Linked DNA regions of Canis lupus familiaris. The protein of the gene in region 7 purifies or fractionates together with the protein of the main gene of each other region. This does not show direct contact. Links are inferred from orthologs where the notes say so. Each region holds a gene or a part of one and is shown on either strand. Other genes may lie near its edges.

Region 1 (3,500 bases), on a different chromosome or scaffold from region 7:
AAACCAACAAGAAACAGGAGTCAAGAAAAAAATGACAACAAAATGTATTTAAAAACAGACTTCTCCAGTTGGTATTTTGAATGAAATGGCTAACAATTAACTCCGACCCCTTATATTGTGTTTCTTTTGCTCCTGGAGTCCTCTTGCAGCTTTAATTCTTGAAACTCAGGCAGCAGCACCAGACTTTAAATCCCCAAAGGGAGAGGTATTATTAAACCTTTTGCTGGTCATTCTTTTCTCAACACAAATGGACAAATTCTTAAGCCCTCTTATTCATCTCATGACGATCATTAGGAGAAACAAATTAAGCCAAACTTGCATATTGAAAGTAAGAACAAAAACACAAAAAAACCCTTGTAGATAATAAATATCGCTGATTCACTTATTTTAAACAAAGTCCAATTTTATTCACTCTTAATATCCTTGCAGTCCATTGTATACCTTCTGCACTGATCCTTGGTTCAGAAGCTGTTTGATACCTGAAGAAAGAATAAGTGATTCCATCAACAAAAAAAAGGGATTTCGCTTAGAGTTTAAAGAGATTTCATGGGGAGGCTCACAAAAGGCCCTATGACAACCACAGATCCGAGTTAAACAGATAAATAACCATGTTCAAGTTCATTGAGTGTGGATCCCCCCCCCCCCCATGGGCACACGTATGTCCAAGATGGCACGGCCCCTTATCTCCTTCTGTCTCTGAGGCACACATCCCACAAAACCCTATCAATGAGAAATGAGAAAATGGCAACCAAGCTCTTCAGTTGTCTTCCGTTCCTTCTTCTTTGTCCTCTTTTTAGTTCTGACCTCTTTCACCATTCTCCTTCCTCCTACTATTCAGGATGCACCAACTGGGCCCTTGCCTCAAGTAGCCATTGCTGATGCCACCCATTGTCCTCTAGCCCTTCTAATGTATATCCTTCCCTTTAACGTTTGGTCCAGCTGATTTGTTTTTATGTGATCCCACTTCACGCTCACAGCCACATACCCTTGTTGCCAAAGCCTCTTCACCCAGCCTTTTGTAACATGGTGATGAGATTTTCAATATCTCTTTTATAGAAAGGCAAGTTCATTTCCTGGTCCTGTGTTTGATGCCCAAGGTCACCAGAGTTTGTTTTTGTTGCCTGTCATCTCTAACCACTGTTTTCATACTCACAAACTGCAGACACGACACACACACCCACACACACACACACTCACACACACACACTCTTTCTCATTAGACCTCTCACCTTCTCTTGCTTCCTCTGTTAACTGTTCTTTTGGAAAATCCACATCAAAAGTGATTATCAAAGAGCCCTTGATGTTGTTGTTGTCAAAGTTGGGGAGCCCTTCTCCTTTCTTCCATAGCTTGGCTCCTGGTCTTGTGATCTTATCCCGGGAAATATGTACCTAGAAAGCAAAGGGCAATGGACCGGACTAGGACTGGTACTCCTGAAACACCACACACTGCTGCTAGCATGCACTGGTGTCCAGAGCTCGTATCACAGCTCAGTACAGCAGCAAGGGTGAAAAAGGGACAAGGGAAACACCATTAGGACATTGTGAGCCAAAGAAATAGGTTTCCAAAGGAAAAGAAAAAACACGTAATCTTAAAACCACCCACACAAAGGTTTAAAAAGACAGGTTTTAAAAAGACAGGTTTTAAAAGGATGGGAAGCAGGAAAATTGGTCTGTTTACCTTGTGGCCATCCAAGTGAGTAATATCCATATCAAAGCCCACCAGAGACTCGACTAGTGAGATTGTCACGTTTGTATACAAATCATCTCCTCTCCTTTCAAATATTGGGTGCCTAAAAATAGAACAAGGCAAAAATAAAAAACTCCCATCTTTCTTTGGAAAGTGTTCCAAAAATTTTAAGAAAAATCTTGGTAAAGGATGAATACCACTCTTTTAAACAATGAGCATTTATTAGACACTCCTTTGTGTGTAGCGTTAATTGAAACCAAAAAGTTGTGTTAGGTTTATTAAATTCTATGCTTAAGGAGTTTATAAATCAGCAGAAGGCAACGCACATAAGTAAAACTAAAACTACAAGTAATCATATTATAGAAAAGAGAAAGACAACTTCTGGCAGTGGGGGCTGGGCGATGGGCATTGGAACAGATTTGGGAAGGTCTCTAAGGCTAGGCTCGAGGCCAGGTCAGCTGTAGATGCAGATAAGGTGGGAATGGGGGAGGGTGAGGTTGGAGTAAGAGGGAATTCTGGCAAAGACCAGGACTTGAGAAGGTACCAGGTTTACTCAGGGAACATCACATGTTCCAGGTTTTCTGGGAAGATATGAGAGAGATAAAGTAGGTAAGGAAACTTGGGGAAAAGATCTCTGAGATTAAGAGTGGTAGGAGGGGAAAGTCCTAGGCAGTGGGGGAATGTTTCTCCATATTTACATAGGAAAATTGTTCCAATGAATCCTTAGAAGCAGAAGTATCACTGCTTTCCAAAGTGGTAACAAGAGAGAAATAATAAACAGGAAAGCTTAAGTCCTGGGCAAAATTCTTGTATAATCAGCATTTCATGCTAAAAAGAAGCTGCATATTATGTAACAGAAGGTTCTTTCTATGTAAAGCCTTCCATTCCTTTGTGGTGCCATGCTTGCTCAGTCAAAATCTCAGGTCTCTCCTTGAGTCCCATTCCTGTTTGTCTCTCTTTTACAACTCCTTACTTGTCTTATCAATTCTTTCCTTCCAACATCTTTTGGATTTGTAGGTCCCAAGTAAATATATAACAGTTCAATCCTGGGCCCCAACCCCAAATTTTCAGTATTGCTGTAGTTACAAATGACCAATTAGGTAGTGAAGGGCATGAAACACAGGGAAAAGCCTAGCAGTGTCCTGGTGGCTATCTATCTCTTTCTAATCCAACTCATCTGAAAAGCGGGGCCTAAAGAGAAGGCCTCCGAAATCAGATCACTTACTTGACAACTTTGATTCGGAACCGCAGGTCTCCTGGCTCTCCATCCACATGAGGCTCACCTAGTCAGAAGAGATGATGGTATATCGTAAGTCACACAAGACGAACACTGCAAATCTACCTGTAGTTTAGGAGAATTTTTAAAAGCTACTACCTTAGGTGTGGCCTATCAAGTCTACCTGTGAGAGCAATGTCTCTAACTGGTTATACCAAGTTTCAAATTATTAGTGAAGATCATCTGTGTCTCAGACACAGCGATAAATAACTTGAGCTGTTTCCTAACCAAAGAAAGATTGATTTCTTGAACCTAAGTCTTAAATTTTCTTTTTTTTTTTTTTTTTTTTCAGAAACCTCAAAAGTGAGGTCTGAGAGCATCTCATTAATGCCAACCAGAGCTACATATCTTCTTTCATTACTGAGTTCAAATTAATCCATTAGGGTCTGAACACTCTAAATTTTGATATAACTTAGGCTACTAGATATCCAGTAAGTTACTGGATAGTAACTTTTGACTGTGATGTTCAAAAGGTAAACTGTAATGCTATGGCTTAATGTGAAAATCCATGAAGGTCATATAAGGCTTTCTGTGCCC
Region 2 (3,500 bases), on a different chromosome or scaffold from region 7:
GAAGACAGAACAAGACGGTGTGGTAGATAGTGATGGGGAAGCTGCTAACTTCACTGGTGGTTGAAGAAAACTTCTCTAACACAGTGACCTTTGAGTTGAGACTTGAAGGAGGAACAAACAAGCAGCCAGTGAAAATCTAAGGGAACAACACTGAAAAAGCAGAAAGGAGGACAAAGTCCTTACACAGGATAAAGCTGGTGTACTCCAAGGTCAGCATAGAAGCCAGAGCACCTGAGGCATAGCAAGCAGGAGGGAAAGAAGAGACACAGTTGGGAGTAGGGCCTTGCTGCCTAGGGGTTTGAGTTCTTATTCTAAGTGTAATAGAAAACCATTAAAGGATTTTAAGCAAAGAAATGACCTACTCTCATTAACCCTTTTGAAAGATCACTCTGGCTACCATGTGGATATGGAGGATGGACCATGGGAATCAAAGATGGAGCCAGGACAACCTGCTAGGACTTCAGAGTCCAGGTCAGAAATGATGGTGGCTGGGCCTAAGAGTGTAGTACTAGAGCTGGTATAAAGAATTGTGGTAAAATGCAGTTACCATAGAAAACCAAACAGATACAACTATTTTGGCCAGTAATCTTAAAAAGTTATTAATGATTATTATGAATAATAACCTCAAGAGGGGACTATGATCCATATTTCGAAGAAGGAAAATTATGATGTTGCTATTTTCCTGCTTTAAAACAAATAAACATAAAAGCTCCAAATAGGATCGAATATTATATGCTATCTTAATTGATAGAGGAAATACCTCTATATTTATTTTTTTATTTTACTTTATTTTTTTTAGGATTTATTTATTTATTTATTCAGAGAGAGAGAGAGAGAGAGATAGAGAGAGAGGCAGAGACACAGGCAGAGGGAGAAGCAGGCCCCATGCAGGAAGCCCAACGTGGGACTCGATTCTGGGTCTCCAGGATCATACCCCGGGCTGCAGGTGGCGCTAAACCTCTGCACCACCGGGGCTGCCCCTGCCTCTAAATTTATAAATGACACTGTGAGGTTGAAGATTCAGTGTCATTATTCATGAGCTAACTATGCCTGTAAAGGTGATTTATGTGTAGTTATGACCTCAAACCTTTTCTCCTCTTTGTCCGAGGGGATTTATAAGCCACCAAAGTCAGAGAGGCTGAGGCAGGATATAAGAGCATGGCTCTAACTAGAGGTCTCAGGGTTGGGAGGGTTGGGGCCGGGGGCAGTGAGGTTAACCAGGGGTGCCCATGTAGTTGTAATTCCTATCTTCAGATGTTTCTGAGTCACCTATTCTTAGGACTTTGGCAGCTCAGCTACATTTATTTATCTTTCATAACTTGAATATCAGTTTTTAAGAAGTCGATCTGCAAACTTTCTTGAGCATGTACTATATGTCAGGCATTCTGCCAGGCAATGGAGATAGAGCAGCAAACAATATAGACATAGTTCCTCCATTAATGGTGCTTTGGTCACATAATAAAGACAGATACTGAACATAAAATTATAAGCCTTCTTAGCAAAAAGGGGCAATAGGAGTATTTAGGAAGGGGATTTAATGTAAACTAGTATGCTCTGATATGTCAGGAAAAGCTTCCTCAGGAAGTGACATTTAAGCTAAGTTCTAAAGATTATGGGTAACATGTACCCTAGAGGAATGGTTTTATTTTTTTTTTTATTTTTTTTTTTTTTTTACCTAGAGGAATGGTTTTAAAAACAAGTATAAGATCCTGTTAGAGAACTAACCAATTTTTATTCCCAGTGGCTATTATACAAGACTTCTAGGAATCTGTGTGAACGTGTGTGTGTGTGTGTGTGTGTGTGTGTGTGTGTGTGTGAGAGAGAGAGAGAGAGAGAGAGAGAAACAGACAGACAGACAGACTCCGCAGCTTGGTTTACATAAAACAAAGGCCTCTGGGTTACCTGTTCTCAGGGAGGGCATCTTGTTTCAATTGAAAATTCTCATTTACAGCAATTTCATGAGCAAGTGTCATGTTTGATAAGTTCCTTGCTGCAGCCATCACTTCGTCAAATGTTACGACCCTGGGAGGGCTTGTTGCTGAAAGAAAAACAAGCCTCAGTTCATGTCATGGAGGAAAAGCTACCATCGAATGAAGCCTCCCGAAGCAAACAGAGTTTAAGTTATTCTAATATATACATTCAGAGTTTTACAAGTTAAGACGACCATATACTAAATTAGGTAGATTTCCCTGCTAATTACTTAAGACTTCAAAAATTCAAAAACTCCTTTGATAGTTTCAGTTACTGTATTAATAATAAATTCTCAAATGTTTTATTTATTTTTTTTAAGATTTTATTTATTTATTCATGAATGACAGAGAGAGAGAGACAGACAGACAGACAGAGGGAGAAGCAGGCTCCATGCAGGAAGCCCAATGTGGGACTCGATCCCGGGTCTCCAGGATCACACTCTGGGCTGCAGGCAGCGCTAAACCGCTGCGCCACAAGGACTGCCCAAATTCTCAAATGTTTTAGAAATTATCTTATTAACATAAGCTATCATAAGTTACTTTTCTTTTATTAAATCATGTCACATTTTAGTACCTCTTGGTATCTGCACTTATTACGCAGTAATATGCAGGAACTTGGTAAGACTACTTTTATTCTGTCATTTGTAACTTTCATTAATTTAAGCAGACAAGATGAAATAACTGATTTTTTTAAAACTACAACTTCTAAAAGTATAGGCAGTATAGCGTAATGTTTAGGTTTAATTCCAATTTCTACTGCTGGTAGATATTATTTGACTTCACTACGGCATAACTTACCTCCTCAGGGCTGTGTTGAGGTGATTAAGTAAAGTAATTTGAGTAAAAAAGAACAAAGTAAGAACTTCATAAATGTAGATAATTAAAATAAAATTAATCTGGTAAGCTGGATAATCTACTCAGTAGGAAGTAGTAAATAAAGAATTATTCTAATTACTTTTTTAAAAAGATTGTATTTATTTATTCATGAGAGACACAGAGAGAGAGGCAGAGACACAGGCAGAGGGAGAAGCAGGCTCCCTGAAGGGAGCCCGATGTGAGACTCAATCCCAGGACCCCAGGATCATGACCTGAACCAAAGGCAGATGCTCAACCACTGAGCAACTCAGGTGTCCCTATTCTAATTACCCCTAAAGATTATTCTAAAAAATTATTCTAATTCTAACAAAGTAAAATCTTTTAAAAATCACTATTGGAATTCTTAGCTTCAATTAATTAAAATCATTGCCTCAAACAACAGTACTGGCTGGCAATATTTTGCTACCTAAAATAATTTTTTAAAGAAGCAGAGGAGAAAGAGAAGGAAGAGGAAGACCATCTAGAAGAGGAGGGGGAGAAAGGGAAAAACGGTGATACATGGAATTAGTGAAACTTCCCCTCTTTAGGATGCCTGTGTCCCCTGTTAGAGGCACCAACCTCATATGTAGTATAAAGAGTGAGAAAAAGCACAGAAAGCTAGGTGGTTGCTAGTCAATTCTTTTCTCAATTCTCTGTGCCATTAAGATTCTTTCA
Region 3 (4,255 bases), on a different chromosome or scaffold from region 7:
AGTTTTGCAGTCTCGCTCAAGGAAAGGGAAACAATATTATTTTGAAATTCCCTTAAAGGCGCCTTTCGGAGCATCCCTCACGGGAAGATACCACGACAGCCCATCTCTGGCGTAATTCAGTAAGAACCGAGTCCGAGTTTTCTCAACATGGCTGTGTACTTTTCAAGCCCCCAAATTCGTGCTTTTCGTAGACATCACTCAGCAAAGAGCCAGAAAATGCATCTCTAGCCACTCTGCGTTTGGTGGGGGACTTAGAAATGGGCTCTGATTAAAGGTCGTGTTCATTTTAAAGGCATGGCTGTCGTGCGGGTGCCTGAGAGTCGCGGGCTTTTGTCAGGGCTGAAGCGGGCTCGGGAGTGCATGCAGCATGGTGGGAGGCAGGTCTGAGGGCCCCGGTCGTTAACACGATTCCAGGGGGAGGGGGTGCCCACACTTTCTACCGAGACGTTCAGCTCCCGGCGCGCGGCGGGAGCTAGGGGACCCGCCTGTGACAGGAATAGAGAATTTCTGTGCGGGACAGGGAGGGAGGATATTAAAAAAAAAAAAAAAAAAAAAAGAGGGCGCCGGGCGCCGTCCCCAGGTCACCGCGGCTCAGGGACCCGCACGAGTTTAGCACTACCATTAACAGCTCCTTGCAGAGGGTGGTTTACCGCCCGTGAGCGCGACAACCACACAGCGGAGCCCACTCCGGGACCCAAGCCCCGCCCCCTCGCCCCTCAGTACCCCTCCTGCCCCCCGCACTAATTAATTCACGGCTGACTCCGTTGCCGGACACTCCCATTGGCTCCCATCCCGCCCAATGAGAACCTCGCAACAGTTTCACCTGGCTCCCACTTCCTAAATAAACAAACTGTCCCACGGCTGGGCCAGTTCTCCACCCTGGCGCCTACCAGGACGGGCCGCGCTCCGCCCTCGCCACCACCCCTCGACCCCTCCAGCCAATAGAGCCCCAGCCGTGGCGCCCCCGTCCGGCCCCGATCGCAGGCAGCTCTCTCCTCCGCCCCTCCCCGCCTCCTCCCTCCCCCTCGTGCCTTCGTGGACTCGCGGTTAGGACCAGCGTGGCCAGAGCGCCCCGCCTCCTCGTGTCGGTCCTCCCGAGGCCCACAGGCCCGGAGGTTCACCGAGCGCCTAGGCCAGGGCCAGGGGCAGCGGCCGGGCGGGGGATCGCGGCGGCGAGGAGGCGGGCCCGCCGCCCCTTCCCCTGCACACCTTTAGCTGGCGGCCGCTCGCGCCCCTCCACAGCTCCGGTAGCTGGAGCCACAGTGGCCGCCGCGTGAGGCAGCGGTCACGTGTTGTTTTGCCCGCAGCCGCGCGCTTTGAGTGGAGTGGGCGGGGGCGGGGCCGAGGCGGGAGGGGCTGGGGCGGGCGGACAGGGGTAGACGGCCTCTTCCCCCAACCCTCCCTTCCCCGAGGCCCCCCCCCCACCGCTCGCTCACCTTAAAACCATCGTGCATCACCATGGCGAGTTGCTCCTGCGCTCGCGACCAAGCGACCAGGAGGCTGAGCGCTGCAGCGGCGGCAACAGCGGCAGCTCTAGCTGTGGTGGCGACCACCCCACTTCTCCCCTTGGGCACCTCGACCGCACTCATTGGGACCGGGTCGTCTTGTCCGGGAGCCATGTGGCTCTCCACGGCCACTGGCTCCCGGTCAGACTCGGAGTCCGACGAGGAGGACCTCCCCGTCGGGGACGAAGTCTGCAAACGCGGCTACCTGCGGAAGCAGAAGCATGGGCACAGGCGCTACTTCGTGCTCAAACTCGAGACCGCCGACGCCCCGGCTCGGCTGGAATACTACGAAAATGCCAGGAAGTTCCGGCACAGTGTCCGCGCCGCGGCGGCTGCGGCTGCGGCGGCCGCCTCTGGCGCCGCGGTCCCCGCGCTCATCCCGCCGCGACGCGTGATCACCCTGTACCAGTGCTTCTCCGTGAGCCAGCGAGCCGATGCCAGGTACCGCCACCTCATCGCCCTCTTCACCCAGGACGAGTACTTCGCCATGGTGGCCGAGAACGAGTCGGAGCAGGAGAGCTGGTACTTGCTGCTCAGCCGCCTCATCCTCGAGAGCAAGCGCCGCCGCTGCGGCACGCCCGGCGCGCAGCCGGATGGAGAGCCGACCGCGCTGGCGGCTGCAGCGGCGGCGGAGCCACCCTTCTACAAAGATGTGTGGCAGGTAATAGTCAAGCCCAGGGGGCTGGGGCACCGAAAAGAGCTGAGCGGCGTGTTCCGGCTTTGTCTTACCGACGAGGAGGTGCTGTTCGTGAGGCTGAATACCGAGGTGGCCAGCGTGGTCGTCCAGCTCCTGAGCATCCGTCGCTGCGGGCACTCAGAGCAGTACTTCTTCTTGGAGGTCGGTAGGTCCACCGTCATTGGTCCCGGGGAGCTCTGGATGCAGGTCGATGACTGTGTAGTGGCCCAAAACATGCACGAGTTGTTTTTGGAGAAGATGAGAGCCCTGTGCGCAGACGAATACAGAGCCCGCTGCCGCAGCTACAGCATCAGCATCGGCGCCCACCTGTTAACCCTGCTGTCCACTAGGAGGCACCTGGACACGCTGCCGCGTGAGCCCGGTGGCTGGCTGAGAAGGTCCCGCTTTGAGCAGTTTTGCCACCTCAGGGCCATCGGGGACGGGGAAGACGAGATGCTCCTCGCCAGGCGCTACATGACACCCAGCGAACCTGTGCTCCCCTCCAGGCGAGGAAGACTGCACCTGCCCAGAGCGCGCCGCTCCAGGAGAGCGATTTCGGTTCCAGCCAGCCTTTGCCGCCGCCTCCCGCCCAGCCCGGTGCGTGTCCCGCATCCCGCCGAAGTCCCGAACGACAGAGCTTGCCTGTCTCCTGAAGCTTCTGGCTCTGGCAACTCTGGGGATGAAGGGAGTCCTCAGGGCCAAGAGGGACAGGAAGGAAACGGAGGTGACTACATGCCCATGAACAATTGGGGCTCGGGAAATGGCCGGGGCTCCGGAGGTGGCCAGGGCGCAAGTGGCCAAGGCTCCAGTAGCCAGAGTTCAGGGGGAAACCAGTGCTCAGGTGGGGGGCAGGGCTCTGGAGGTGGCCAGGACTCTAGCGGTGGCCAGGGCTCAGGGGGCCAGGGTATGGGAGGAAACCAACGTTCAGGAGCTGGCCAAGGCACTGCAGGTGGACACGGCTCTGGCGGCGGCCAGGGAGCCGGAGGTGGACACGGCTCAGGCGATGGGCAGGGACCGGGCGATGGCCATGGCTCCCGCCGTGGCAAGAACTCTGGAGGGGGCAAAGGCTCAGGAGGTGGGAAGACTTCCGATGGCAGTGGTGACCGTGGAAAATCTCTGAAGAAAAGATCCTACTTTGGCAAACTAACTCAAAGCAAGCAGCAGCAGATGCCACCACCTCCACCTCCTCCACCCCCACCCCCACCAGCGGGAGCAACTGGTGGTAAAGGGAAGTCTGGGGGAAGGTTCCGACTTTATTTTTGTGCCGACAGAGGAGCCCAGAAAGATCGCAAGGAGGCCAAAGAGGTCAAGGACAAGGCAGACAGCCCAGAAGGTGCAGCTCGGGGCCCCCTCAGAGCCAGGGCTTTTGATGAAGATGAGGATGACCCCTATGTGCCAATGAGGCCAGGGGTGGCTGCCCCTCTTGCAAGCTCTAGCGATTATATGCCAATGGCTCCCCAAAACTTCTCTGCTTCAAAACACCACTCTCGATCACCTTTCGAAGATTCAAGGGGGTACATGATGATGTTTCCTAGGATGAGCCCACCACCAGCCCCAAGTGCCCAGAAAGAGCCAGATCCCGAGAAGGAGGATGAGTCAAAGGACAATGACAGTGAGAGTGACTATATGTTTATGGCTCCTGGAGCCGGTGCAATTCCAAAAAACCCCAGAAATCCTCAGGGCGGCTCTTCCTCTAAAAGCTGGAGCTCCTACTTCTCTCTGCCAAATCCTTTTCAGGGCTCCCCATTGGGACGGAGTGACCACAGTGAGTATGTACCAATGTTACCTGGAAAATTCTTGGGAAATAGCCTGGACAAGGCACCCACGTCTAACTGGGGCCCCAAACATGCAGTTTCAAAGCCTCCAGTGGAGGGGTCATTCTCAAAGCCTAGGGATGGGGGGACATGCTGGAAGCCTTCAGATAATGGGCCCCCCAAGAACAAGGCCAAAAGACCCAACCGTCTCTCTTTTATTACAAAAGGAAATAAAATCAAGCCCAAATCACAGAAGCCCACACGTGCGCAGAGAGAAGCTGACAGCTCTAGTGTCTACGTCAACATTGACTTCACTAAAA
Region 4 (4,297 bases), on a different chromosome or scaffold from region 7:
ACCAGACACCTTTTTCCTCCTCCTCATCATCCCATTCCCTGCAGACGGGCAGCGGGCAACGTAGCCAGACCAGCTCCATCCCGCAGAAGCCCCAGACCAACAAGTCTGCCTACAACAGCTACAGCTGGGGGGCTAACTGAGGCCTGACCCCCCTCCTGCCCGGCAACCACGGAAACGGCATCAGAGAGAGAGGAAGGGGGGGTTCCGCTGCCCCTACCTCCAGTGTCCCACCCTATGCCTCAGCTTCATGTCTGTCCCGTCCCCATACCACCCCTACTCTGTTGTATGTATTATAGGATTTGTATTTTCTCCTTTTTTTTCCCCCTTTCCTCTCCTCCTCCCCCCTTGCATTCAAGATTATGAAACTTTGCTGTGGGCCCCGCCTTCCTTCTCCTCCTGTTCACCCTGGTGGTGTATAGGTGAGGTGGGGCAGGGGGACCCCCAAATATATATCAGCCCAACAGCCCTACGTCTCCTCCTTTATTATTAGGAAACAAAACAACAACAAAATGGCGTCATGAATATGAACAGCATTGTCAGATGAATTAGTTGAAGTGTTTTTTTTTTGTACTGTGTCCTCGAATTTAATGGATTAATGTGTCTTGTATATATAAAAAGAAAACCTCTACCTTCAGCCTCTGCCCGTTCTTGCTCATTCTAAGACAGTCTGGTCAGCCAGCTCGGTGAATGAATATTCCGTTCCAGCTGGGCCCCTGGCAGGCTCTGGAGGCCCCAGAATAAAGAGAGCTTCTGCCTTCACCTGCCCTGCTGGGATTCCCTCTCCTCCTTCCCCAGGGGCTTCACAGCCTAGAAGGAGCTGCTGCAAATTTTCATTTCCTCCAGAAGCTGCTTCCTCTGCAGATTTCAGGCTGTGACAGGAATGGACAGCAGACACAGGGTAGAAAGCTGGAGAGTGGGTTTGGGGAGCGGTCGTGTACTGTAGATGGTCCAGGACAATGGTGGGGGGGCATGCAGTTCCTGCTTCTTGAGTGCTGCCGGCCCCTTGAAAAGGAGGGGTCAGGAGACCAGGGCCGGGGTGCAGGGAGGGTGGGGGCGCAGGAAAGGAAAGGCTTGAAAGTCAGGGGGCAGGCAGAGGGTTACTTACAGCTCCAAACTCCTCCCCCGGCAAAGCTTACGGGATTTCCCCGGCTCTCTTGCCAAGCCTGTGCCTGCAGGCTGCAGAGCCTGCCTAGGGCAGCTAGTATCGGTCACGGTCACCGCATGCCCGTTGGCCGGGGAGCGCCAAGTCCGAGCATCCCCAACCGACCCGTGGATTCAAACGCCGAGCCTGGAGCACCTGCCGCACCGGCTCGCTGGGCGGAGGCTGCCCCCTGGCGGCGGCGGCCGGTCCCGGGCAGGAAGGCGGCTTAGGGTTCCGGGCCCTCGCCCGCTCCCTTCGCGGGCAGGGGGTGCGGCTCGGGACCGGGCGGCGCCCCGCGCCGCCTGCGCCGAGCAGACGGTCGTGTTACGACAGCGTGCCGCGCCGCCTGCCTGCTTTCCGGCAGGCGGCCCGACGCTGCTCTCAACTTCCGGCGGCGGAGTGCAGCTGCGGCCAGGTGCGAATGGGCCTCGGTGGGGTCTGCAGGTTCGAGTCCCAAAACGGGGATGAGCTTCTTTGATCTCTTTCGGGGCTTTTTCGGCCTTTCTGGACCTCGGAGGTTAGAGTGGGTCGGGGTCGGACGAGGGTGGGGTCTCCTGAGGGGAGCTTGATCTCTGACACCCAGTTCTTGGGAAGCCGTCCTCTTCGTCACTCCTTCACCAGCTGCGGAGAGGACAGAAGTCAGCACACTGCGCACTCGCCCCGCGGCGGTCACCTGGGCGGCCGCTGAGAGGAGGACTAACCGCAGTTTAAGCCTTTCTCCAGTCTGGGGTGATGCAACAGGGGCCTGGGCGGGAGAAACAGTGGGGGCCGGGCGGGGGTGGGGCGCGGGGGGCGGGGGCACGGCCTGCCCGCGAGGTGAGGACCGACCCTGACACAGACGGAACCCCGACGGCGCCCCGCCAGCCTCACTCCCGCACCTCGGTGCGCAGACCTCTGCCCTTGGCTCCTCGGCCACCCGGAGCTGATTGTGCGGCCGAAGGTGTGGCTGAGATTCTGGTGCTCAATCTACCTTCACTCCCAGCCACAGAGATCCCTTTTTTGGAGGGATGACTCGAGATGAAGATGAGGACGATGAGGAAGAGGAGGAAGAAGCAGCCCCGTGGAGCCATGGGAGCTCGAGGTCTGAGGGTCCCCAGACCCCGGAGGAATTTGGCTTTGGCTTCACCTTCACTCCAGGAGGGATGCGTTTCCATGATAACTTCGGCTTTGATGACCTGATTCGTGATTTTAATAACATCTTCAGCGAGATGGAGGCCTGGACCTTGCCTTCCCGGCCTTCTGGTGTGTGGCTGCCCCTGGAGCACCTCTGGTTTCTCCTGGGTTAGTGGGTGAAGCCAGGAGCCTGAAGAGAGTAGTGGGGGTGGGAAGTGTGAGAAGAATGATAATATCAAGGCTGTGAGGAGCCCAGGTCCTCTCCCCCCCCCAGCATCCATCTGCCCCCTTTTCCCAGAACTTCCAGGTCCTGGTCCTGAATCAGAGACACCTGGTGAGAGACGACGGGAGGGACAGACACTTCGGGACTCAATGCTTAAGTATCCAGATAGTCACCAGCCCAGGATCTTTGGGGGGGTCTTGGAGAGTGATACAAGAAGTGAATCCTCCAAACCAGCACCAGACTGGGGCTCCCAGAGACCTTTTGGTCTGGTGAGTGCTTCTGGGCCCCAAGTGAGAGCCTGCAGGAGGTAACTAATAAAGCACAGACTGGAGCTTGTCAGAATCTAGCAAAGTTGGGTTGGGATCCTAGGTTCTCCACTGTCTAGTGTATTTATCTGTTTTCTCTATTAAGCTCCTTGTAGGATTGGGCGGAGGGGGCGCATGAGGGTGGGAGTTCAGCTTTTTTCTCTATTTTTTTTTATGACTTTTTAAAAAAAGGTTTATTTTATTTATTTATTCCTGAGAGAGAGATAGAGGCAGAGACACAGGCAGACGGAGAAGAAGGCTCCATGCAGGGAGCCCGATGCGGGACTTGATCCTGGATCTCCAGGATCACGCCCCGGGCTGAAGGCGGCGCTAAACCGCTGAGCCACCCGGGCTGCCATATAACTTTTTTTAAAGATTTTATTCATTTATTCATGAGAGACAGAGAGAGAGAAGCAGAGACACAGGCAGAGGGAGAAGCAGGCTCCATGCAGGGACGTGATCCCAGAGTCCTGAGATCCAGCCCCACATTGGGCTCCCTGCTCTGTGGGGAGTCTGTTTCTCCCTTTCCCTCAGCCCCTCCTGTACTCCCTGTCTCTCTCAAATGCGTAAAACCTTAAAAAAAAATCACCAGTCTGTATGATTCTGGGACAAGACGGATTGTTGGATAGGATAGAGTGTCAGTTGAGGAGAGCCTTTTGGTGGAAAGATAGATTGAACGGGTAGGACAGAGAAAGGGGTGAGTAAATAAAGCTATCCTGAGTGGAATCCTCTGTCCCAGGGGAAAAGTAGTTACGGAACTTAGGAATATTTTGGATTCTGTGACCTCTCAAGTTTCAGATTGAAAGGTATCATTTCACCTATTTTGCCTTCTACAGTTTGATGATATGTGGCCTGTGACCCCCCGTTCTAGAGCCAGAGAAGACAATGGTGAGTCTGGAGGGAGGGGACATTTAACGTACCCTTTGTTCTCTCTCCCTTACATTTCTTCTTGTCACACTTGGCCCCTTCTTTTCCTTTGGACTTTTGATTTCGTGTTTCCTCTCTGCCCTTCTAGATCTTGATTCGCAGGTTTCCCAGGAAGGCCTCGGCCCAGTTCTGCAGCCCCAGCCCAAATCCTATTTCAAGAGTGTCACGGTGACTAAGATCACTAAGCCAGATGGGGTGAGTTGGAAGAGGAGTAAAGGGAAATGTGGCCAGAGGATGCCATGGAAGAGCAATCTATATAAAGAAACCAGTGAGCTCACTTCTATTGATCTTAGAGATATGGTTGGGGTCTCTCCTTGTAGACAGTAGAGGAGCGCCGGACTGTGGTGGATAGTGAGGGCCGGACAGAGACCACAGTAACCCATCAAGAAGCAGATGGCAGTCCTAGAGATGGTAAGTAAAGTTTGTGAATCAAAAAGGTCCATCTCTTATTTCCTTGGGCAAAAAACACACATACTTTTTCAGCCTTTGATATTCTTCTCCTTGTCCACTGCCCATTCTTTTTCATTTAGTGTGTCTGTATGTATCACTTTCTCCTTAGATCCAGAATCACCAACACCTCCAGCCCTG
Region 5 (3,077 bases), on a different chromosome or scaffold from region 7:
TACGCCAAAGGCAAAGCAACCCTTCCCTGGTTTATCCTGCTTTTACTGGTAACCTCACTAAAGAGGGGAAGGCCTCCCTCAACATCTTACTCCTCAGCTGAAGATGGTTTTTAAGGTGGTGGCTTGGGCTCTCCATCTGAGAGGGAGGCCATCTCAGTGTCCCTAAAATTCTGCTATGTATATGTGAAGTATACATGTTAATAAGCTTCTGCTTTTTTTCTTGTTAATCTGTCTTTTATTACAGGGTTTCTCAGCCAAGAACTCAGAAAGGTACAGGGAAAATTATTTTTCCTCCCCTACATGCACATCCTTATCAAGAGATCCACTGCATCTGATCTCTTGTAACCAGCACAAAACCCTGGTTATGCACGCCATTTGCTCTAGGTTAAGACTTGATCTCCATCCGAGTTAGAAATGCATACCTGCCCACACTTTTTCAAACGTGCCCACTTGGAAAAGTCATCTGGTATCCCATGTATAAAAGTTGTCAGAGGGGATCCCTGGGTGGCGCAGTGGTTTGGCGCCTGCCTTTGGCCCACGGCACGATCCTGGAGACCCGGGATCGAATCCCACGTCAGGCTCCCGGTGCATGGAGCCTGCTTCTCCCTCTGCCTATGTCTCTGCCTCTCTCTCTCTCTCTGTGACTATCATAAATAAAAAATTAAAAAGTAAAAAAATTAAAAATAAATAAATAAAAGTTGTCAGATAATGGTGCCTGGGTGGCTCAGTCCATTAAGCACTCCAACTCTTGATTTTGGCTCAGGTCATGATCTCACGGTTGTGAGATCAATCCCCACATCAGGCTCATACGCTACACGTGAAGCCTGCTTGAGATGGTCTGTCTCCCTCTCCTTCTGCCCCTTTCCCACCTGCACACATATGTGCTCACTCTCCCTCTCTCTCAAAAAATGAAATAATAAAAAAAAGGAAATAATAAAAAATAGACTTTCAGGGAAAGGTATTCTGCAACCTCTCTCCGTAATATAATATAGTTTATTAGTTAATCTTATGTGCTATAATTTTGACTTTTACATTTAAAAATTTTGTAGCCAAGGTGCTTACAGAAAATAACTTTAGCCACAAATGAATGCCTAAATGTTTTCAATATAGGTAAGTTTATGTCTCGTATTGATTGATATTTCAAACTTTCCATGTTTAGGAGAAAGAGAAGAATTAAATCTGACAGCAAACCGTTTGATGGGACGAACCCTCACCGTTGAAGTTTCAGTAGAAACAATCAGAAACCCCCAGCAGCAAGAATCCCTAAAGCATGCCACCAGGATTATTGACGAGGTGGTCAGTAAGTTTCTGGATGATTTGGGAAATGCCAGGAGTCACTTGATGTCCCTGTACAGTGCATGTTCATCTGAGGTGCCACCCGGGCCTGTTGACCAGAAGTTTCAGTCCATAGTAATTGGCTGTGCTCTTGAAGACCAGAAGAAAATTAAGAGAAGATTAGAGACCCTGCTTAGAAATATTGAAAACTCTGACAAGGCCATCAAGCTGTTAGAGCATTCTAAAGGAGCTGGTTCCAAAACTCTGCAACAAAATGCTGAAGGCAAATTTAATTAGTTTTGAAACATAAGAGCATTTAAAAATAATGGCATAAAAATGATTAAACACTAGTTCTTTGTGTTAGGTATAACCTTTGATATTGATTGTTGTTTCAGATGAGGAAAATATTCCAGTGTCATCAGTTTTGTGAATGATACAATTAAAACTAGAAATATTTTAATTATCTTTCTAGAAGTTTTTAGAATGGATTCTTGTCTTGTGTTAGGCTCTAGCACCTAATATATATATATTTTTTACTATTCTGTGGATGAATACTTAGTATATAGAAGAGAGTAACTGCTCAGCCTGGGCACAAAGCATTATTCTGTTCTGGGCTTTGTCTGGCATGGAGATACTCGGGCACATGGGGCATTAAGTTGACTAGAAATTCTTGACCTTAGGCAGCACACAAACTTACCACCACACATCTACTGTTAACTATGTGGTGTGCTTAAAAGGACAAAAGAAATCACAAAGTAAGAAACTTTCCCTACATTATCTTTTTCAGAAAGCACTTTTTTTGGACATCTATCAAATTATTTTGAATTTAAGATTTATGCATCTGATAATATGAATATAAGTCTTGAATTATATAAAAACTTGGCATAAAGTGTGAGAGAATTCAACTCTAATATTATCACTGTGAACAACTATATGTCCACCTCATCTTTTTCCAAGTGCATAATTTCTCTAAATTTTTAATCATTACAAAAAATACAGTGTTGTACCTTGCCTTTGAAAAAAAATGCTATAAAGTCTAATTGTCAACTTTAAAACCTCTATTCTGTATGGTTGTATAATTTACTTACCTATTCCCCTTACTAGACTTTTAGATTGTTCTAATTTGTTGCTTATTCCTGCAACATATTTATATACAGAAACTTTTTTCCTTCTTTGTTTTTGATTTTCTTTATGTAAATTCCCAGTAGTGGTACTTATTGGGTCAAAGGTATATATACATTTTCAAACGTTACATCAATTTATACTGTCTTCAGTAATTAAAGTGTAGCTGTTTCACTAGAAGTTTTCCAGAATTGAGTGTTATTTTTTCCTAACAATAGATAAGAAACACCTTAATTTAGTTTGCGTTTGTTTACTAACAAGGCTAACCAATGTATTGATTATTCAATTACTGTGATAAATGAAGCAACTTTAGAACACTTCTGTTTGAAGTAACTAATGCTATTGATACACAAAAACCTTAACTCCCCCTCAAATACTTCTTCAAAATGAATACATCAGACTCCCGTTTTCATGGGAACGTAGGTATTCTTTCACATTGGGGGGTGGGGTGGGGGAGTCAACATCCAGATTGGCTTTATATATTTAGATCTCTCAATGCAAACAACATTGAGCTTCATTTTTTGGCCAAAAATGTCAAATTAGTCTCTCTTCATAAGAAGCAATTACAATCTCAGAACATTATGTTTTTGATTGCCATTGCTAAGCCTGCCTCATTTAAATCTTTCCATTTCATAGGAAACATTCATTCTCCTTGATAACTGTGGCAAAGCTTCTTGATT
Region 6 (3,500 bases), on a different chromosome or scaffold from region 7:
TGGTCCATGGTATGGTTTGTCAGCCTTACCCATCCATGCCTTTGTGACCAGGCCTGGCGCCTGTACAGGGCAAGGCTGAGGGCACAGGTGGCCAAGGTGAACTGGATTTAATTCATTTGACCTTCATGTGTAGCAAGAAATGTTATGAAACAGATTTTAGCTTGGAGAGACTAATAAAACTCAGCTTGGAATAATTTCAATTTGTTATAGGAACCAACATTTTTATTTATTAAAAAAATGTTTTTTTAAAGATTTTATTTATTTATTCATGAGAGAGAGAGAGAGGCAGAGACACAGGCAGAGGGAGAAGCAGGCTCCCTGCAGGGAGCCCAATGTGGGACTCCATCCCAGGACCCTGGGGTCACGCCCTGAGCCGAAGGCAGATGCTCAACCGCTGAGCCATCCAGGCGTCCCAAACATTTTTATTAATACACAAGTCTATACTATTAGACTTCATAGATCTCAGATGGAAATTAAGGGTTTTTATTTGAAGATTTATTTATTTGGTAGCAAGCAAGAGTGAGAGAGCCTGTATGCAGGGAGGGGGGAGAGGGACAGGCAGAGCCCAATACGGGGCTTGGTCCTGTGACCCTGGGATCATGACCTGAGCCAAAATGGAGAGCAGATGCTTAACTGAGCCAACCAGGTATCCCACATTTGAGGGGTTTGAATCAAATATTTCATTGAAAAATGCTAAAGATAGCAGCCTGACTGCTACAGCCAGCCTACCTGAAGCTGTTTGCAGAATATCCTTGTGTTAAACCTCAGCCAGGAAATTCAAGTAGGTGGGCCCCCAGGAAGTGCCTTTGGGCTGTCACCAGTGGGCCTTGGGGCTTCTCACTTCTGTTAACAGTTCTGCTCACAGCTCGTGGGCAACAGTGGCTAGTTGGAAATAATCGTATTCTTCCTGAATAGTATGTCCACAGTATTTTTATTTTTATTAACCACTGGAAAAACATGCCTTTGTTACTCTAAACACAGAAAGTAGTTGGTTTAGTTACCTATGAGAATAGGGGTCGATCAGCGTCTTCAGGATGCTTTGAAGTATGAACTTAGGAAATGCTATTTCCTGTAAATAGAGTAAGGGTTTCCCATTAAGTGTGCAGTTAAATTAATACTAACTTAGGCTGGATTTAGCCTTATTTATTTTTATTTTTATTTTTAAAAAAATTTTTATTTATTTATGATAGTCCCAGAGAGAGAGAGAGAGGCAGAGACACAGGCAGAGGGAGAAGCAGGCTCCATGCACCGGGAGCCTGATGTGGGATTCGATCCCGGGTCTCCAGGATCGCGCCCTGGGCCAAAGGCAGGCGCCAAACCGCTGCGCCACCCAGGGATCCCCCCTTATTTATTTTTAATGAGCAGAACTGCACCTGTGAGTGGTGCATGTTTTTAGTCCATTTTGTGGATTCTAGGCTTTGTTCATGCGTAGTGACCAGAAAAGCTTCTATTGGAGGAGTAACTGTGTGTGGCTGCTCTCTCTCACCATTTCTCCTGAGGAACCTACAATCTTACCTGGCTCTGTGTCCCAGGCCCTGTGCTTTTCCTCGCTCCACGGGTTAGCCTGCCTGCGTTGGTGCTCAAGTACTGCTGTGAAGTCACACTTCAGTCCAGAGGCTGATGCTAAAAGACATCCGATACTCTTCCCATTTCATGGATTGTGCCTGGAATCCAAAGAAGATTGAGTAGTCTTTCATAAAACCTGTACAGATAAAGCTACCCTGGATTCTGCTACATTCTTTGTTTTCAAAGAGCACACTAGTGCAAATGAACCGTTCTTTCTCCTTGGTCTTTTACATGGTCTGTCAATTTTTGCCCAGGATCTGTTGCATTTCAGGGGTTTTGGTCTGCTTATTGCATGTTGAGGTCCATGGTGATAGAAAGATAAAATATTGTTTTAGTGTTGTAGAGTCCAGTGTTAACCAGATTTTAAGAAGTTCAAGCCAAGGTTTTTGATTAAAATGTTAAATTGAACCACAACAGCCTTATGTTAACAACTTGCAGGTGTGAGGAGGACTGCCTGGTTCCTCATGTTAGCTTTTGCAGGGCCTACCCCTCCCCCGCTAGCCCGCCCCCACCTCATATCATATGTGGTGCTGATGTTTAGTTAAGTAGAAGAGATTTTTTTTATCGTATTTAAAAAGGATTTTTTTAAAAAAATAAATCCCTGTAATTGTTACTGTTAATTGGAGGCTTCAGTGAGTCTTGAGCACAGAACGGGGTGGCTTTGTAAATGGAGCTGCTACAGCCCACCCCTGCCATACTGCTGTGGGAGGCGACAGGCTGGGGACCAGGGCTGTGGTGCTGGACCCTTGGCCCCTTACCAAGGCTGCCTTCTGCCTCTGCTCTCTCAGCTGCACGACCAGGAGTTCACCTGCACACATTGATCCTCAAATGTTGCCATGTTTTTGTATCTCTCAGTTTTGTATTGTGCTGTGTGGATTTTAGAACTTCTTTGTCTTGTGGTGGGGGAAAGGGAGATTTTACTCCTGAATTGACCCTCATCGCACAGGTTTATGAACCTCGTGATGTTTCATAGCCGTTGGATTTCTGCACATGGAAGTGACCTGCACGTGGAAGTGACCAGTGCCCTTTTACTCTTTCCAAGGTACCGGAAACTGGCCCTAAAGTGGCATCCAGATAAAAACCCTGAAAATAAAGAAGAAGCAGAGAGGAAATTCAAGCAAGTAGCTGAGGCGTATGAGGTGTTATCAGATGGTGAGTTAACCTACCCAGAGCTCGGACTCTCCCCAGGGCTTAGTGGAGTATGGATTTGGCTAATTGAGGTTTGGGCATGGAGAAAAGTTTCTTTCCTTGTGAAGCTTTGACCCATGTCCCTGGCAGATCCTTGATACAGTTACCCGTGAGTGCTGTGGGTACCCTGCTTCTATCAGTTTCTTTCAGGATGGCTGTTTTAAACAGTTACTGACACTGATCTGAGGACTGACAGGATGGATCAGAGTGTAGGACTCCATCTGGGTCATTGCGTCTCCAGACTTTGAGGTGTTGCTTCCCTCGCCCCTGGGTCTAGAGCATAGATACTGGAAAGTGTAGGCTTTTGAAAAGTCCGATCCATTAGCCTGGTTTCACAAATCAAGTGGAAGGTGAGCTGTTAGATTCAATCAGCAGGTCCTTGGTGAAGAAAAGTGTGTGTGGGCCCTGGGTTTGGGAGAGCAGTGTGGAGGTTTGTTAGAAGACTGGAAATGTACTGACATTGCTTTGCCAGGAAGGAGCACTGAATGACCTGGTGTGAGTCAAGGCAGGGTACCCAGAAGGTTGGAGTAGGGTTCACTGGCTGCAGGGCATCAGTGCTTCCTTCAAGTGTATCCACAGGGGGTCAGGGTCACCAGTGAGGTTTACTGGCTGCAGGGCGTGGGTGCTTCCTCCAAGTATATCCTTCTGGCAGGATCGTCAGTGAGAGGCAGTTCTGAGTTTAGAGGAAATCTGTTTAACCGCCACTTGCCTTCCACTGCTGCTAATAACACGTGGAGCATCTTTAT
Region 7 (4,041 bases):
CCTAGGGCTGAAAGCAAAGCCTTTTTGTCCCAAGAGGCAATTGAGCAACCACCACAGTCTCTAGTTGAATAGCAACGGTGTGAGGCTGTCTACAATTCCCACAGTTAGAAGTCCAATCTCTGAGAAGATTTACTGAATTCACACAAGAACTACATAAAAAAAGAAATGCAGTTATCGAGCTGACAAACTTGTCTGTGGATGGAGACAAAATTATAAAATGTCTTCTTTCTTACATTATACAGCTCTCCTTTTAAATTTGATGTCTTAGTTATTCTCTTCCTTTCCAGAAAAAGGGCGGGGGGCGGGGAGAACAATGCCGAGAATAACTGCATGCACAGGTACTAGAACTAGTTTCTGAACTCCTTGTATTTTCTCAATTCTGTTATCAGGAAAGATGATTCATCTTAAGGAATAATACACTACATAAAATATAGTAATCACACAGACTTCTGGTAAAAGAGTATTTCTAGTAGACTATTTAACTACAGTAGGTTTCTTAGATCTTAATTATCACCGTGTTAGAACTACTTGTGTGCTTCCATATTTAGTATGGTTTTCTTCCATCCTCCCTTTTGTTTAGCTATTTGGGGGAGGGGTGCAAAAGAAGGTCTGAAGATAAATTACTTGAACCTCAAAAGCCATTTTGGATGGCTCTATTACTGAACCTTCTTTTTATATTAAAAAAAAAAATCACATGCACCCAAGCCTTTTTAAGCATCATTCCCATCTTTTCTCCTACTTTATCTATAAAGCAATTAGAGACGTTGAAGCCTCACCGAATGTGGTAGAACTTAGTATATTTTGAGAGAGGAGCTGGGAGTAATTTTCCATCAAATATTTCATGTGAACACAAATTCTGCGATCTAAGTGTTGGAGAAAAAAAAAAAAACCTACACTGGTGATTTTAACTGTAAGTGTGAGGTTTAAGCAATAGCAAAATCATCCAATTCAAGTTTTCTTTCTTCTTTTCTCCACCCGCCCCCCAACCCCACCCCATCATGGATGCTCGGCTGACTGTTTTTGCACAGTCTCTTTGTCTGGAGGATGCAAACAGTCTATGGATGCTAGGGAAAAAGGGGTGGGGGAGAGATTACCTCATCCCATGTTGCTTGCACCAATCACCACTCTCCTGTCGTGACTTCTCCGGGCAGATTGAGGGGGTCTGGACCAACAGGAAAAGGCCCCAGCCCATCCCCATGGTGACCGAGTTGTATATAGGGAGCCGCATCCGCCCATGTGCCGCAGGTTCTCTTACATCGACCGCCTAAGAGTCGCGCTGTAAGAAGCAACAACCTCTCCTCTTCTCCGCCATCCGCCCGGCAGCCGCCAAGCAGCAACCATGGTAAGAATCTTCCTTCTCTGGCTCTTTGTGGCCCTTGGGTGGGGTCAGTCCCCCAAGATCTGCTGGGAAAACCTGAAGCCCTCTTTCCTTCTTTCCTTTACAGCTTCTTTGGGTAAGGGTCAGCCTTTATGCTTTGTTTGCGAGGTGTAGCTTCGCTGCCCCAAATCCTCGAGCCCGGCCGCCGCCGCAGCGCGGGGTGCGGGTGCGGGTGCGGGTGCGGGAGCGCAGCCAGGACTGCGCCCGGGGCGCAGCAGAACCGTGGGGAAGAACAAAGGCGGCGCCGAGCGAGTCCTTGTTATCTGAGCCCTTCCGAGCCGCGAGCAGCCCGTCTGTCGGTGACGACAGGATCTGGGGCAGGGAAAGGCGGCCCCGGTGTATGTGTGGCTCGGACAGGCTTTTCTTCCTGGCGCTGGTCCCAGGGGGAGGGCGAGAAGAGGTCCCCCAGCCCCGGGCGCGGCGGGTGCAGTTGGGCAGGGGGAGGGGGAGAGGAGCGGGACAAAGCGCAGCCCCGGGCTAGAGGAAGAAGATCGCTCCGGGGTCGGTGGCGTTCTAGGGAGATACCCGCGTCTGCACGGGGGAAAATGGCTAGTTTCTGCTGGAACCCCGGGCAGCCGGCGTCGGGGCGGCGCAGGGGCGGAGTTGTTTGTTTCTGGCTTCTCCGGCCTTGGAGCCGCGGGGCGGGGTTCGCTCGTCCTCTCTAAGCCTCCTCTGTCGGAGACTTTTATTAAAAGCCTTTCATCGTTGTGGAACTGTAGGCGTTAAAAGGTTTTTCATTCACTGTTAAAACGTAGATGAAATATTTCTTTCTTGAGATGCAAAATCACAGTTCTCTTCACAAGCCCTTTAAAGTCTGGTCTGGGGCGACCCCGCCCTGACTGGAGTGAGTGTGTGTGTGTGTGTGTGTGTGTGTGTGTGTATGTGTCTGTCTGTCTGTCTGTGTGCTAGCCGCACGGCACGTCCAGCAAGAGAAAAAGCTCACTTTGAGAGCCAGGGTACCCTACTGCCCAGGACCCAGGGAAACGCCCTTCCCCACCCCACCCCCCCGCCCCCAACCCCCGCCCAAATGTCAGTGAATAGACAATGGCTAGACAATGGAAGCTGTAGCCATAAAGACTATAGGGAAGAAAATCTCTTATTCAACGTGATGAGTAGAAATATTCTGTGGTGAGTAGAGAATCTCAGAATGAAAATACTATTTTATTATTTTAAATAAATATTTCATTATCCTTGCACTGAGCTTTTATTCTTAGGTAGGTCCTCTGATACTTTTCTAATTTAGGAACTATTGTTTTAAAGATTCTAATAATTTTTCAGGGTTTTTTTTTTTATTTTGCAGTGGAGAAGATTCTGGAAGGACATCTTTTTAAGTAATGAAAATGCTGCAGACAAAGAACTATGTACTCTCTGTTCAGCTGTCTTTTGTTCTAGTGAATCTACATTAATTCATTTCAGTTTAGGCATATGGTCCCAGCCCGGGTCACAGAAGGAAAACTGGCTAATAGCACAATGAGATCATGTAGGCAGTTTCTGGAAATAGAACTTACTCTGTTAAATAATGTAGCAGACAGAATAGGCTAGTACCAGGCACAGCAAATGCAGCAATGCAGCAGTGCAGGAGGCAGACCTTGTTAGCTTCCAATCCCCTAGTACTAATGGATTCTGCAGATACACTGCAAAGGGGTGTGGCATCTAGCTTCAGCTGCAGCACAGATGTCCATGTTAAAATACCAAGTCATATGTAGAAGAAACTCTTATTTAAAGGGGCAAGAATAGTAATATTGATTCCAACTAATTAATGATTAAATTTAATTTGCTTCATTTTACAAAATCCGTGCTTTAAATATTTTTAAATAAAAAAATTATATTTAAGCATGACTGGAAACAATGGGCTTGCACATGTGCGAAACAGTGCAACATTATTATTCAGACCACACCCATCTGCAGCATTTGTAGCAGGTGCTTTCCTTAATCATTTCTATTGAATTAGGGATAATCTCAACTAAACCTGAAGAATACCTGTATATTATTAGAAATATTTTCAAAAATTAACTAAAAATTCAAAATGCTACCACAACCTAATTTACAATTTTCCTCTTTTCCTTCCCATAGCGTGAGTGTATCTCGATCCACGTTGGCCAGGCAGGTGTCCAGATCGGCAATGCCTGCTGGGAGCTCTATTGCCTGGAACACGGCATTCAGCCCGATGGCCAGATGCCAAGTGACAAGACCATTGGGGGAGGAGATGACTCCTTCAACACCTTCTTCAGTGAGACGGGCGCTGGCAAGCATGTGCCCAGGGCAGTGTTTGTAGACCTGGAGCCCACAGTCATTGGTGAGTTGGCCTCAGTAACCCAAGTGAGCTCCCGGGGCACTGGGACAGGAGGTCTGTCTGAGGCTCCACTGACAGCCTGGGGCTGAGCAGGGTCATGCAGGTTGTTAGTGATGGGTGGCCACCTTGTTTTCCTTTTCCAGATGAAGTTCGCACTGGCACCTACCGCCAGCTCTTCCACCCTGAGCAGCTCATCACAGGCAAGGAAGATGCTGCCAATAACTATGCCCGAGGGCACTACACCATTGGCAAGGAGATCATTGACCTTGTCTTGGACCGAATTCGGAAACTGGTATGTTTATTCTCAAGAATAAAGTAAATAAGGATCTGAAGGAAGACATTTGAGATACGATGTTTTGTTTTGTTTTGT

Evidence for each region.
Region 1: the proteins of tubulin alpha-1A chain (region 7) and DNAJB11 purify together in Homo sapiens (affinity purification with mass spectrometry; 3 studies listed by BioGRID and IntAct, counting the BioPlex papers as one, with this or other methods). This does not show direct contact. The link is inferred for Canis lupus familiaris from reciprocal best matches to the Homo sapiens genes TUBA1A and DNAJB11.
Region 2: the proteins of tubulin alpha-1A chain (region 7) and TCP11L2 purify together in Homo sapiens (affinity purification with mass spectrometry; 3 studies listed by BioGRID and IntAct, counting the BioPlex papers as one, with this or other methods). This does not show direct contact. The link is inferred for Canis lupus familiaris from reciprocal best matches to the Homo sapiens genes TUBA1A and TCP11L2.
Region 3: the proteins of tubulin alpha-1A chain (region 7) and IRS4 purify together in Homo sapiens (affinity purification with mass spectrometry; 3 studies listed by BioGRID and IntAct, with this or other methods). This does not show direct contact. The link is inferred for Canis lupus familiaris from reciprocal best matches to the Homo sapiens genes TUBA1A and IRS4.
Region 4: the proteins of tubulin alpha-1A chain (region 7) and HAX1 purify together in Homo sapiens (affinity purification with mass spectrometry; 3 studies listed by BioGRID and IntAct, with this or other methods). This does not show direct contact. The link is inferred for Canis lupus familiaris from reciprocal best matches to the Homo sapiens genes TUBA1A and HAX1.
Region 5: the proteins of tubulin alpha-1A chain (region 7) and BAG2 purify together in Homo sapiens (affinity purification with mass spectrometry; 4 studies listed by BioGRID and IntAct, with this or other methods). This does not show direct contact. The link is inferred for Canis lupus familiaris from reciprocal best matches to the Homo sapiens genes TUBA1A and BAG2.
Region 6: the proteins of tubulin alpha-1A chain (region 7) and DNAJB6 purify together in Homo sapiens (pull-down; 3 studies listed by BioGRID and IntAct, with this or other methods). This does not show direct contact. The link is inferred for Canis lupus familiaris from reciprocal best matches to the Homo sapiens genes TUBA1A and DNAJB6.

What each region holds. Positions count from the first base shown.
Region 1 is NC_049255.1:19,370,402-19,373,901, reverse strand, and holds the end of DNAJB11 (dnaJ homolog subfamily B member 11), read right to left. Parts: intron 2,971-3,500; coding exon 2,913-2,970; intron 1,791-2,912; coding exon 1,679-1,790; intron 1,390-1,678; coding exon 1,230-1,389; intron 480-1,229; coding exon 415-479; 3' UTR 46-414; downstream 1-45. UniProt on the Homo sapiens protein: As a co-chaperone for HSPA5 it is required for proper folding, trafficking or degradation of proteins.
Region 2 is NC_049231.1:33,395,493-33,398,992, forward strand, and holds part of TCP11L2 (T-complex protein 11-like protein 2), read right to left. Parts: intron 2,039-3,500; coding exon 1,903-2,038; intron 1-1,902. UniProt on the Homo sapiens protein: Promotes the migration of muscle-derived satellite cells (MDSCs) during differentiation throught interaction with FMNL2 and therefore may participate in microfilament assembly.
Region 3 is NC_049260.1:82,901,730-82,905,984, reverse strand, and holds the start of IRS4 (insulin receptor substrate 4), read left to right. Parts: upstream 1-1,455; 5' UTR 1,456-1,458; coding exon 1,459-4,255. UniProt on the Homo sapiens protein: Acts as an interface between multiple growth factor receptors possessing tyrosine kinase activity, such as insulin receptor, IGF1R and FGFR1, and a complex network of intracellular signaling molecules containing SH2 domains.
Region 4 is NC_049228.1:42,956,551-42,960,847, reverse strand, and holds the start of HAX1 (HCLS1-associated protein X-1), read left to right. Parts: upstream 1-1,497; 5' UTR 1,498-1,605; coding exon 1,606-1,658; intron 1,659-1,724; exon of another isoform or gene 1,725-1,870; intron 1,871-2,123; coding exon 2,124-2,422; intron 2,423-2,552; coding exon 2,553-2,746; intron 2,747-3,618; coding exon 3,619-3,670; intron 3,671-3,797; coding exon 3,798-3,904; intron 3,905-4,029; coding exon 4,030-4,120; intron 4,121-4,268; coding exon 4,269-4,297. Other genes in the region: UBAP2L (ubiquitin-associated protein 2-like), read left to right, coding at 45-140. UniProt on the Homo sapiens protein: Recruits the Arp2/3 complex to the cell cortex and regulates reorganization of the cortical actin cytoskeleton via its interaction with KCNC3 and the Arp2/3 complex. Slows down the rate of inactivation of KCNC3 channels. Promotes GNA13-mediated cell migration.
Region 5 is NC_049233.1:24,636,079-24,639,155, forward strand, and holds the end of BAG2 (BAG family molecular chaperone regulator 2), read left to right. Parts: intron 1-1,159; coding exon 1,160-1,572; 3' UTR 1,573-2,577; downstream 2,578-3,077. UniProt on the Homo sapiens protein: Co-chaperone for HSP70 and HSC70 chaperone proteins. Acts as a nucleotide-exchange factor (NEF) promoting the release of ADP from the HSP70 and HSC70 proteins thereby triggering client/substrate protein release.
Region 6 is NC_049237.1:20,540,879-20,544,378, forward strand, and holds part of DNAJB6 (dnaJ homolog subfamily B member 6), read left to right. Parts: intron 1-2,608; coding exon 2,609-2,718; intron 2,719-3,500. UniProt on the Homo sapiens protein: Has a stimulatory effect on the ATPase activity of HSP70 in a dose-dependent and time-dependent manner and hence acts as a co-chaperone of HSP70. Plays an indispensable role in the organization of KRT8/KRT18 filaments.
Region 7 is NC_049248.1:41,239,328-41,243,368, reverse strand, and holds the start of tubulin alpha-1A chain, read left to right. Parts: upstream 1-1,241; 5' UTR 1,242-1,339; coding exon 1,340-1,342; exon of another isoform or gene 1,343-2,193; intron 2,194-3,451; coding exon 3,452-3,674; intron 3,675-3,814; coding exon 3,815-3,963; intron 3,964-4,041. UniProt on the Homo sapiens protein: Tubulin is the major constituent of microtubules, a cylinder consisting of laterally associated linear protofilaments composed of alpha- and beta-tubulin heterodimers.